Caenorhabditis elegans: one gene and its partner. The protein of the gene in region 1 interacts with the protein of each later gene in a biochemical or structural test. Each region holds a gene or a part of one and is shown in the gene's direction. Other genes may lie near its edges.

Evidence for each region. Proteins that work in one complex are often made in the same cells at the same time.
Region 2: the proteins of lin-1 (region 1) and egl-27 form a complex in vitro, tested with the Caenorhabditis elegans proteins (one study listed by BioGRID).

What each region holds. Positions count from the first base shown.
Region 1 is NC_003282.8:2,296,961-2,301,978, reverse strand, and holds the start of lin-1 (ETS domain-containing protein), read left to right. Parts: upstream 1-1,692; coding exon 1,693-1,716; intron 1,717-1,761; coding exon 1,762-1,849; intron 1,850-5,018.
Region 2 is NC_003280.10:6,832,857-6,838,244, forward strand, and holds the start of egl-27 (Egg-laying defective protein 27), read left to right. Parts: upstream 1-2,164; 5' UTR 2,165-2,224; coding exon 2,225-2,309; intron 2,310-2,598; coding exon 2,599-2,717; intron 2,718-2,730; exon of another isoform or gene 2,731-2,837; intron 2,838-3,770; coding exon 3,771-3,911; intron 3,912-4,995; coding exon 4,996-5,121; intron 5,122-5,170; coding exon 5,171-5,235; intron 5,236-5,388. UniProt on the Caenorhabditis elegans protein: Transcription factor which promotes stress survival and delays aging. Required for cell cycle progression and development of the mesodermal and endodermal embryonic lineages.

The sequences.
Region 1 (5,018 bases):
GCTTACTAGTTTTTTTCTGAAAAAGCTCGAATCTTATGTAAAAATTCAGAAAATTTGCTTTTAATTGTAACATATATAATAAGTTCAAAAACTTCAATCTCGTAGAAATGTTGTGAAAAACTGTTGCAAAATAGGCAAATTTTTTTGTTGAAATCCTGAAGTTAACAAGACGGGCCTGCAATAAAAAAGAGTAAACGCAAGGCTATTAGGGAGTGCAAGACTAATAGGGAGTGCCATACTAATTTTCGGAAGGTCTCCGAGGGGCAATACTAATAGGGAGTGCAAGTCTAATAGGGAGGCCATATTAATAGAAGATATACGGTATGTGAAAAACAATTTTTTAGTTGGCAATTTTCTGATAAAACCAATGTCAATCAAGATGTCAACTGATAAAGTTGCATAGGCTGCCAAAGTGGGTTCATTTGAGGTTCAATTGATGCACCATGTCGTTCCTTCTTGGACAGCCTATATCTCTATTTATTTTAATGCTAGTAATTTTAAAATGAGAAAATTATAGAAAAATATTTGAAAAATGTTTTGTTAGTTGTCAATTTCAAATAAAATCAAAAGACAACCAAGATATGAGCTGTCAAAGTTATGCAGTTAAATCCTCCTCACTTTAGAAGCTCTAATTTCAGTTGATTTTAAAAATATCAAAATATAGTAAACTAGAAAACTATAAAAAAATATGTGACAAACATTTTGTCAGTTGACAATTTTCTGATAAAACCAATGACAACCGAAATATAAACTGGTAAAGTTGAAGTTTTTTTTCGATGCACCATGTTCGTTTAATATGATGATTTTCTAATTTTCCAAAATAGTTATATATTGGCAAGTGGAAAAAAATTTGGTTTGTTTTAAATTGATTAATAATGTTAATTGCATAATTGTACAATATTTTGTCAGTTGACAAAAACAACCAAGTTTTCAAAGTTAAGTCTCGAGCAAGTTTCGGTTTCCTACGTTGTTTGGCGGGTTTTCAAAGAGTTTTTTGGGCAATTTCAGACAATTTTGAGCTATTTTGAAGTAAGAAGACATACAAAAACATTGCAGGTATTATAAAATAATTATCAAATAGCTAAAAAAAAATTCTTCATTACACTTAAACAACTTTTGAGCAGACCAACTTTTGTGATTTCCAATATATGATTTTACTTTTAAAAAAAATCTAAGACTAAACCATTTCCCTCAACTTTTAAATTATTCTAACATTAAACCTCTCCTCTTCCGTTTAAAATCGTATTAGCCAAGGGAATTAGGCCTTTGAAACTAAAACTTTTCCCTTGTGTCTTGTGTCACAACGCATTAAAATTTGAAGATATTAATAATTGTCCCACTTTCCACATACTTCATTCTTTTTTTATGAATTGTACAGTAGGCCTTTATGCCTGCCTGGTGCCTAGAGTAGGCATAAGGTAGGCATGAGATCGTAAAGTGACAGCAAGTTTTGCTCATATCTTAAAATTATCGTGTTTTTATAATGTAGATTCAATTCAACAATAAGTGAGCAAAAAGTGTTGTAAATTTCCGCATTTTACAGCCCCCCTCCCGTCCCTTGTTATCTATAGAGTCACTGAAAATAGTAGCCAGCTCGTCACTCATTGCCACGTCATCTTTCATCAGCCGCCGCCACCCCGTACCATTTTCCAGGTCAAAAGAAAGCGCCGACACTCTACAGTTTACACGAAAATGAATCACATTGACCTTTTGAAGGTTTGTCCACTGACTTCATGACTCCTAAATAGTATTCTTTTGCAGGTCAAAAAAGAGCCGCCGTCGAGTTCGGAAGAAGCCGAGGAAGAAGAATCTCCGAAACATACGATTGAGGGAATTTTGGATATAAGAAGTTAGTTTATTTTTTATAGTATTTGGAGCAAAACACACTTGCTACTAAAAGCAAATGTGCTCAATGAAGTTTGGCTCAAAATTGCTGATAGTGATTTTTATTTTGAATGAAAAATTTCACATTTTTCGGCAATTTGCTTATTGTGATTTGAACAGTCGAAATGTGAAATGAAAAATTAGGGGACATGGTGCATTGATTGGGCAACTTTGGCAGTTTATATTTCGGTTAATGTTTAAGATACGAAAAAATATGTAACTACAAAGTTATAGAACAACATATGAAATTTGTTTTGTTAGTTAAAAGTTTTTTGATAGAACCAAAGATAGCCAAGGAAAGTGGTGACAAAGTTATGCACCATGTTTGAACCTCTACACTTTAGGAGCACATATTTCGGTTCATTTTTAAAATATCAACATATAGTAAAATACAAAACTATAGAAAAATATGTGAAAAACAATTTTTTAGTTGACAATTTTCTGATAAAACCAATGTCAATCAAGATATCAACTGATAAAGTTGCATAAGCTGCCAAAGTGGGTTCATTTGAGGTTAATTTGTTGGACAGCCTATATCTCTATTTATTTTAATGCTAGTAATTTTAAAATGAAAAAATTATAGCAAAATATTTGAAAAATGTTTTGTTAGTTGACAATTTCAAATAAAATCAAAAGACAACCAAGATATGAGCTGATGCACCATGTTAAATCCTCCTCACTTTAGAAGCTCTAATTTCAGTTGATTTTAAAAATATCAAAATATAGTAAACTAGAAAACTTTAAAAAAATATGTGACAAACATTTTGTCAGTTGACAATTTTCTGATAAAACCAATGACAACCGAGTCAATGACAATGACAATGACAATGACAACTGGTAAAGTTGAAAGGATGTTCGAACAATATGATACTTTTCTACTATAGTGGCAAGTGGAGCTATTGGCACATTCTCAAAATATTTTACTAACTAGTCTAGTAGAACAAGTTTCAAACCAATTTGTTCTTCCTGCCAGACGGCTGAATAAACCGTAACGACCATGCTCTTCCACCTGTCGGTTGATGCTCAACTACTGATTCCTCTCCCTGCCACTTTTTTCTCTTTTTTTCTGAATTTAGTTTTGGTTTTTGCGGGTAAAATCCGATAAGAATTGATGAATGTGTGTCGCTTTGGGTAGAGCAGCTAATCCGTATTTGGTTTTAATGATGATTTGATGATTTAGTATGGTGTTTCTTTTTTCTCAAGTTTTTGAGTAGAATTTTCAAGAAATTTGTGAGAAAAATGACTTAAATTTTGCCAAAACATAGGGTATTTTTTAAAACTTTGAGCAGAATTTTCAAAAAAAATAACACGATAAAATTCAATTCTAAAATAATTGTCAAGACGAAATTTTCGGTATAAATCCAACTCCCTCTATACATATTTCCGCCTCACAGTACCGCAGGTCCCCCATTTTTGTTTGATTTCTACCGCATTTTCACACCCAATCACTTTTGTATATATATACATACGACATATGGTGTCAATTAATAAGTCGGAGGGGAGGGTGTGTGTTTGATACGTTTATATATTTAGATACTTCTTGTTGAAGAGTCAAGTTAAATCAAACCACATGACAATGTTTAGAGCTTTAAAGGTTCATAACTGGAACTATTGTTTTTATATCCATTTGCAAAACGTTACATTAAACACATGGCTGGAATAAAATACAACCTTTTGTCTTTACTATGCCACAGAGTCTGTAATAGTGTCCTCCAATAATTTAATGCATTTTTACGTGCTTTGCAATTTTTCTGAAAGTATCTTCAAATGGGTGAAAATCACTCATTTTGATATTCTTCTATACCTTTGAATTTTCTTGATATATATGCTTTACTGTTACCCCTAAAACCATCCCAACTAGCATCTGTTCTTCACTATTTACGGGTCTCTTGTCTTCCTTATCTGTTGTTATTGTTGTTGTGCTCTTTCGGAGCAGCTGAAGTTGCGGATTAAAGTCATCTGCGACCAAAATTGACGGATCGGAATATATGGCCGACAAAGAAGAGGTGCTTGAATGGGGTGAAGTGGGGGTCCTAAAAAGATCAGTCATCCGGAATGTTTTTAGGGTAGTATCATATGAAAAACCCCTCTACTCAATTCATATTAAATATTTTGTCAGCCCCTGAAACCTCTTTATCCAACAAGAAAACCGTACTAATGATAGGTTATATCGGAAAGATGTGGAAGGGTGGAACATAAATATTATTGCGTCTTCACGGATTTTTGTGAGATCATCATTTTGGAGATAACCAGGGGGGAAGGTCATCAAAAGGTGCGACTGATAGGCATCTGGTAGTGCATGATTCAGTTTTAGTAGTGTATTTGCTTTTTTTTGAGGACATGAGAAAAATTTAGGAAATTTTTGAACCCACCTTGAGAATTTTGGAATAACTGCTGTAGCCTCTCCTAGGGCTTCCACCAGGGGTGTGCGGCAAATCTCAAAATTTGCCGAGCTCGGTAAATTCGGCAAATCTCTTTTTTCAATATTTGCCGAGCACGGCAAATTCGGCAAATTCGGCAAATTCGGCAAATTCGGCAAATTCGCCGTGCTTAACAAACTCGGAAAAATTTGATATTTTTTTTATGTTTTTTGGAGCACCAAAACTACTGAATTCTTAACACACATCTGGTTTCTGAATAAGTTCCGCGTAGTATGTCTGTTTAAGCATCAAAATAGCTCAATTTTGTATCATTTTACTAAATTTTTGGCTAAAAAATCAATAGTTTTAGTCAAAATTGTACTGTCAAATTTTTGACGTGTGCGGCAAATTCGGCAAATTCGGCAAATCTACTTTTTTGAAATTTGCCGTGCTCGGCAAATTCGGCAAATTCGGCAAATTTGCCGCACACCCCTGGCTTCCACGTAGGCGATAAAACGCCTGCCTGCCTGACTTTAAGGCAACCTCTGCCTGCCTCTCGTGAACTTCTTTCATTCTTATTTTGATTTTTAACAGATTGATAAAAATGATAAAATTTGAAGTTTGAAGTTTCAGGCAGGCATCAGGCCCTGAAACCGTCCCTTAACATTTTTAAAATTTTCAAAAAGATACAGCCTCCCACATTTTGATTTAAAAATATCTCAATATTTCCCTATTTTGATTAATAACTCGATAAGAATCAGCATGCAAAAGGTG
Region 2 (5,388 bases), on another chromosome or scaffold:
TCATCCGCTCCTCGAGACGAAGACGTCGACACAATCGGTGTTTATTTTTGCGACGTAGGGCAATTTTACTCGCAAACATATGAGAGGGGAGGCGCCGACGACACCCGGGCGGGCGGCCTGACGAGAGGTTTAGATAGCGGGGGAAATAGAGAAGTTGGAATGAAGCGGCTGCTATTGCTGCCACCGCACGGCAAGAAGCGGACACAATTCAACCCGAAGATATTTTTTATGTGCACCTAGATGAACTCTTTTTGCAAAACCTCTCAATTAGTAGACCTTTGAAACTCAACAACGTTTGGACGAACCTAACTTGACACCGCCGCCTTTTTCTCTAATCTTATCTGATGAAACAGAACATCTGATGTTATCACAATCAATCAAATCTTATTCATCTCTACGAATTCGTAAATGTTTTCACTTACATATAAATTGGAAGAAAAACGGATTATCGTTCCAGAGATCAAAAAATGATGTGCCTCCCCTTTTTTGCAATTAATCCTCAACTCGTATTTCTCTTTGTATGTCTTGAAAATTGAAATTTAGACAGTTTAGTTGTTATCACGTCAGTTTTGTGTATTCCACTTGAACTATCTATCTGGTTGGTTAGTCTCCTCCCACCCATGAGTCTTTCATTTATGTTTGTCTAGCCTGACAATTGACCTGACCACCAACCATCAGGTCTCTCCCACGTTTTGTATTTTTATTATGCACATTACGAACTGTGTGAAAATGGCTGTCGTATCATAATAAATTTTGGAAAAAGAAAACATCTGAAATGTTGCCAGTTCTTTGATTCTCAAAATGTTCAAATGATATTCATAAGACTCTCATCTTGTTTGCCATATTGTCATTAGCAGGTCATCCTCTTCTATTCAATTCTGGCTAATCCCCCGTTCCCCCTTTCTCTTATAATTCATCGTTCCTCACTGTTTGGTTGAATGAAAGAGCACAACAACACTTGTAATGAGTTATTTCATATTTTGAAAAAGTTGCCACGTCATGGAAAGCCAAGACACAGTGGCGGTCTGCTTTGAGGTCGTCACTGTCACCGTCGAACTGTTTTTGATCGCAAACATACATCGGTTGTCTCGTCTCTCGGGTTGTCTCTCTCTACCTCTCTCTCTCTCTTTTCCTTCGGTGACTACCTCTCCTCCCTTCCCGCCACACCGTCCTCCCCCTTCCACCGACTATTCCACCTTTTTGTGGTATGTACTAGCACTATTCTCTGCGTCTGTTTTACAGTTCTCATTCTCTCACACACACTTATTTTTCCCCAATTCTTATGGTAGTTGAATGTGAGTACAGTGTCCACTAGGATCTAGACTTCAGGACTCATTCTGAAAGTTGAGCCGAGGTCACGTGTGAAAACTGAGCTCTTTTCCTACACCTTGCCCCTTCTTGACAATTGTCGTTCTTCCTCTTTCTTATCATCACTTGACTTTTTTGAGCGACATGCTGGACAAGACAAGTCGTTTAATGGATGATGTTGCGATTTACTATCATCTGTTAGTATGCGCTAAGTAGGTGCGAACGTATGACGAGTTACAGTAATTTATTAAGCTTGAAGGTTTTTGAAGGATTTTATGAAGTTTGATCAAGTTCTTGAGTTAAGTAAACATTTTCTCTTGTGATCTTAATTGATTGTGAAAATAGTGAACAATTCAAGTTCTTGAAAAGATTTGATTTGTGTAAGTTAGAAAATGTGTGTTACCAATTACTGTTGTATTTGACTTCTAATGGATCTTCCGAGTCAATCAGATTCCTTGGCGCTCGGTGGTCCTGCTCCTGCTGCTAAATACACCAAAATATTTGATGAATGCGGTGCGACGGCGATGCCGCCAATGTCTCTTTTCCTAACGGACCAGTCGTGTATGTGCTCTGTGTATGTGCCCCACTAACCGACGACGACGACCCTCGCCCGCCCCACGCCACTCCCACACCCCACCCCGTCTTCATCCCTTTCCTCTCTCCCGTCTTCCTTTCTTCTATCCCTCGGTGCTGTTCTAGTTTGTGTTTTTACTAGGCTCTAGAGGGTTCCGGAGGGAAAGAAAAAAGAACTTCTGTGCTTTTCATCACCATCTTCCTCTCTCATCTCATCTTTTCATTTTTTATCCAGCTGATTTTCGTGTGTTCTCAATGATTCAAATTAAGACCAATTCTTTAGGATAGTTCATCATTTTTGGGGGAGCAAACTGGAAAAACTAAAAAAGGCAACAAGACAAAGATGAGCCGCTTTGACAGCCAGTGCAGTAGTGAAGACGTCAACAAAGAGGACGAATGTGTGCCGTCGTCATCTGAGGATAGCCAAGGTAATGAAATTGTAACTGAACCGTCTCTGTGTCTTCTTGTATGTCATGTCAACCTAGATACGGGTATTCCCAGTGGGGGCCGTTCTTTTAGAAAGATGGCCCCATCTTCACCAGCGTAAAATGTTATGATTCTCGCTGCGGATTAGCGCTTAGCGGATTAGTCGAACAAATGTACGAACACATAAGAAGACACATGCGGCAATTCTTTTTTGTAACTTTTGATTGTGTGATCTAGATTCTAAAGACCGCCTACTTGAAATAATTTAAAATATAAATTATCAAATTTCAGACGGCGTTTCTTCCCCAATGGAAAACGATGACGAACCAGAATTTTCCCAAAAGCATTACGATATTGAACCATGTTATTATAGTCTTACAGGCAAATCGGATAGGAATTGCCGTGGAATAGTAAGTCATTTTTTAATTCAAAAATCTGAAATTTGAGTAATTTCCTGTACTCTTTAATAGTTATAATCTGAATAGACATCTTATGTATGCGTATCTTCTTCCCCTTCAATATCTCAACACTCGAAAAACCAATTAATTGTCGTTCTGTCGAGTTTTTGGAAGAGACACAGACATTTAGGCAGTTTAGTGTGTAGGGGAGGTCAAAAGGAAGAGGAGACGCTGGTCATAATTCAAATTCTCTCCCGATTAGACGAACATCGCTACAAATAGACAAAAACCTGGATTTCAATCTTTTTTCACCCGTTTTTTCTGCGAAACGTTTTGATGGCTAAACCTCAAACATTGCGCTTACACACACACACATTGCGAGCTTCAAATCGAGAAGAACCAGATAGTCAAACACTGAGAAGATCGCGAGCCGAAAAAAAAACCGAAGTGACCTCTCTTCTCGTTTCGTCAAAAATTGAAAATTGAACTTTGACTAGATTAGTTGTCAGTCGGCAGCATACTTCCTCGAATTGTGCGCATGTTTTCCAAAAAAAAGCGAAGCGAGGCAAAAACAGCTGCCCAATTTTTGATCTGAAATTCGAGACAATTGCTTTTTTCTGGCTGGCAAGGAAAGCAAAGTCAACAGAAGTTTTCGGAGACCCCAGAGAGATGCTTCTTCCCTCAAGAGAGTACAAACAAAAGAGACGCTTGAGAGTTAAAAAGATAGATACTATGCGACAATAGACACACAAACACAAAAAAACATTTTTTGCCGCATTATATGATTTGTTTGTTTGTTTTGAAATGTGCGCTCATAATATTTCATTCTCTCACAGTTTAGTGTTAGTTGGCATTGACCTAGTGTGAGACGAGGTGCCAATTGACAACTGAAGCTAATGAGAGGAGAGACGCAGACGACAAGTACAAGTGAACACTAGTTCATTTCACCTCAAAGATACAGAGAAACCGGAAAGATAAATAAGACAGACTAGTTTCTAATATAATATCGTTAGTTGAAAGTTTGAAACATACAAATCTACTGATTTACTAAACATATTTTTTCAGGTATACCGGTATCGACAAGACAGTGATCTAAAAGGGTTTCAATCACATGATGGCACATTGTACAGGCTACGAGATTCAGTATTCGTAGAAGTGTCACAAAACGAGCCGTATGTGATAGCGGCAATATGCGGATTTAAATATGTGAGTAATGAGATCGTGAGGCATGTCAGCAGATGGTTCTGCCATATTAAGGTTTTTGAAATAATTGTTTCTTGGAAACTTGTTCCTCAAAAATCAGAACCACAATAGATCAAATCGTTCCACAGTGTTACAATGAAATATTTATATAATGGGCAACACTCAGTGAATGTAGCGATAAGATAACAAATTCGGCATTTAAAAATTAATGTTGCGAGAAACCGGGTGATGTTTGACAATTTCGAAATAAATTGATAGAAAAGGGGGTTTAAGGACAAATTGAACTTTTTGGAAAATGAAAAATGAGGTTTTCTTTTTGAAACTAGAGATTCTTTGATACTTTATAATCTCTGCTGACCTCTTCTCAAATTCCAAACAACTATCAATTTACTTGTTCTCTATATCTCTTCATTCCCTTGTTCCTTGAACTACTGGTTTAGAGGAGGAGAGAACCGCACTTGTGTAAATATTGACACAGTTTTAGTGGGTTCATGTATTCCCTTCATGTTTTCCTTTCGACTGATAGCACTGAATACTTTTTTAAACATAAAAGTATAAGGAAGATGTCATTGAGTCATTTGCCCACTTGTTCGTCCTTCAGAACCCACTAAAAACCGTGTCATAATCGGATTGCGCGGGAAGTCGTTGAGAATTAGAGAATGCATTGAAAGTGAAAAAACATAAACTTTTTAATTCAAACACTTTTATAGTATCATCACAAAAACATACATTTTAGTATACACAATAAAAGTAGAAAGTTTGCTCACTTTTATGAGCTGTGAGAAGAACATAATGTTCCTCTTTGTTGTTGACAAAGCACATTCACGTGACCAACTGATGAGCTTATTTTAGAATTTAAATAGGAAATTGGGATAACTAGTTTTTAAAGCCAAAATTCTAAGAGCAACAAAATTACAATATTTTCTAGTTTTGACAACGCAGGGATAATTTTTCTTCTGGATTTTCAAAGCCGAAAACTGAGTTTATCAAAAAAGGTAAATTCCTTTGACAGGGCTACACATAGTATTCAAAAAATGATAAGAGATTATATATTTTTCAAAACAAAATAAAGAATACCAATTTTCAGACAAAACGAGATCACGTGGTAGTGAAACTTACGAGGTACTTCAGAGCAGACGATATACCTGAGATATCTTTAAATTTAATGAAACAAGAACGAGCTGAGCTTGAAATCAATCCACATTTATGTCCAGTTAGTTTAATTTTTAAGATTTTCAGAATTACTCACATTTATTTTTCAGCAATCATTAAATCGAGAATTATTTAATTCGGAATTACAAATTACACAACCAGTTTCATGTTTAAGGTGAGTTCTTTTTTAAATTTAAAATACTAAAAAAATTGAAATTAAAATAACTTTAAAATAATTGAAACACTGGAAAAATTCTTTGCCCCTTGACATGATTCGTTTTCAAAGTTAAAATATTAGAATTTTGAAAATGAGTTCTCAAGTGCCTCA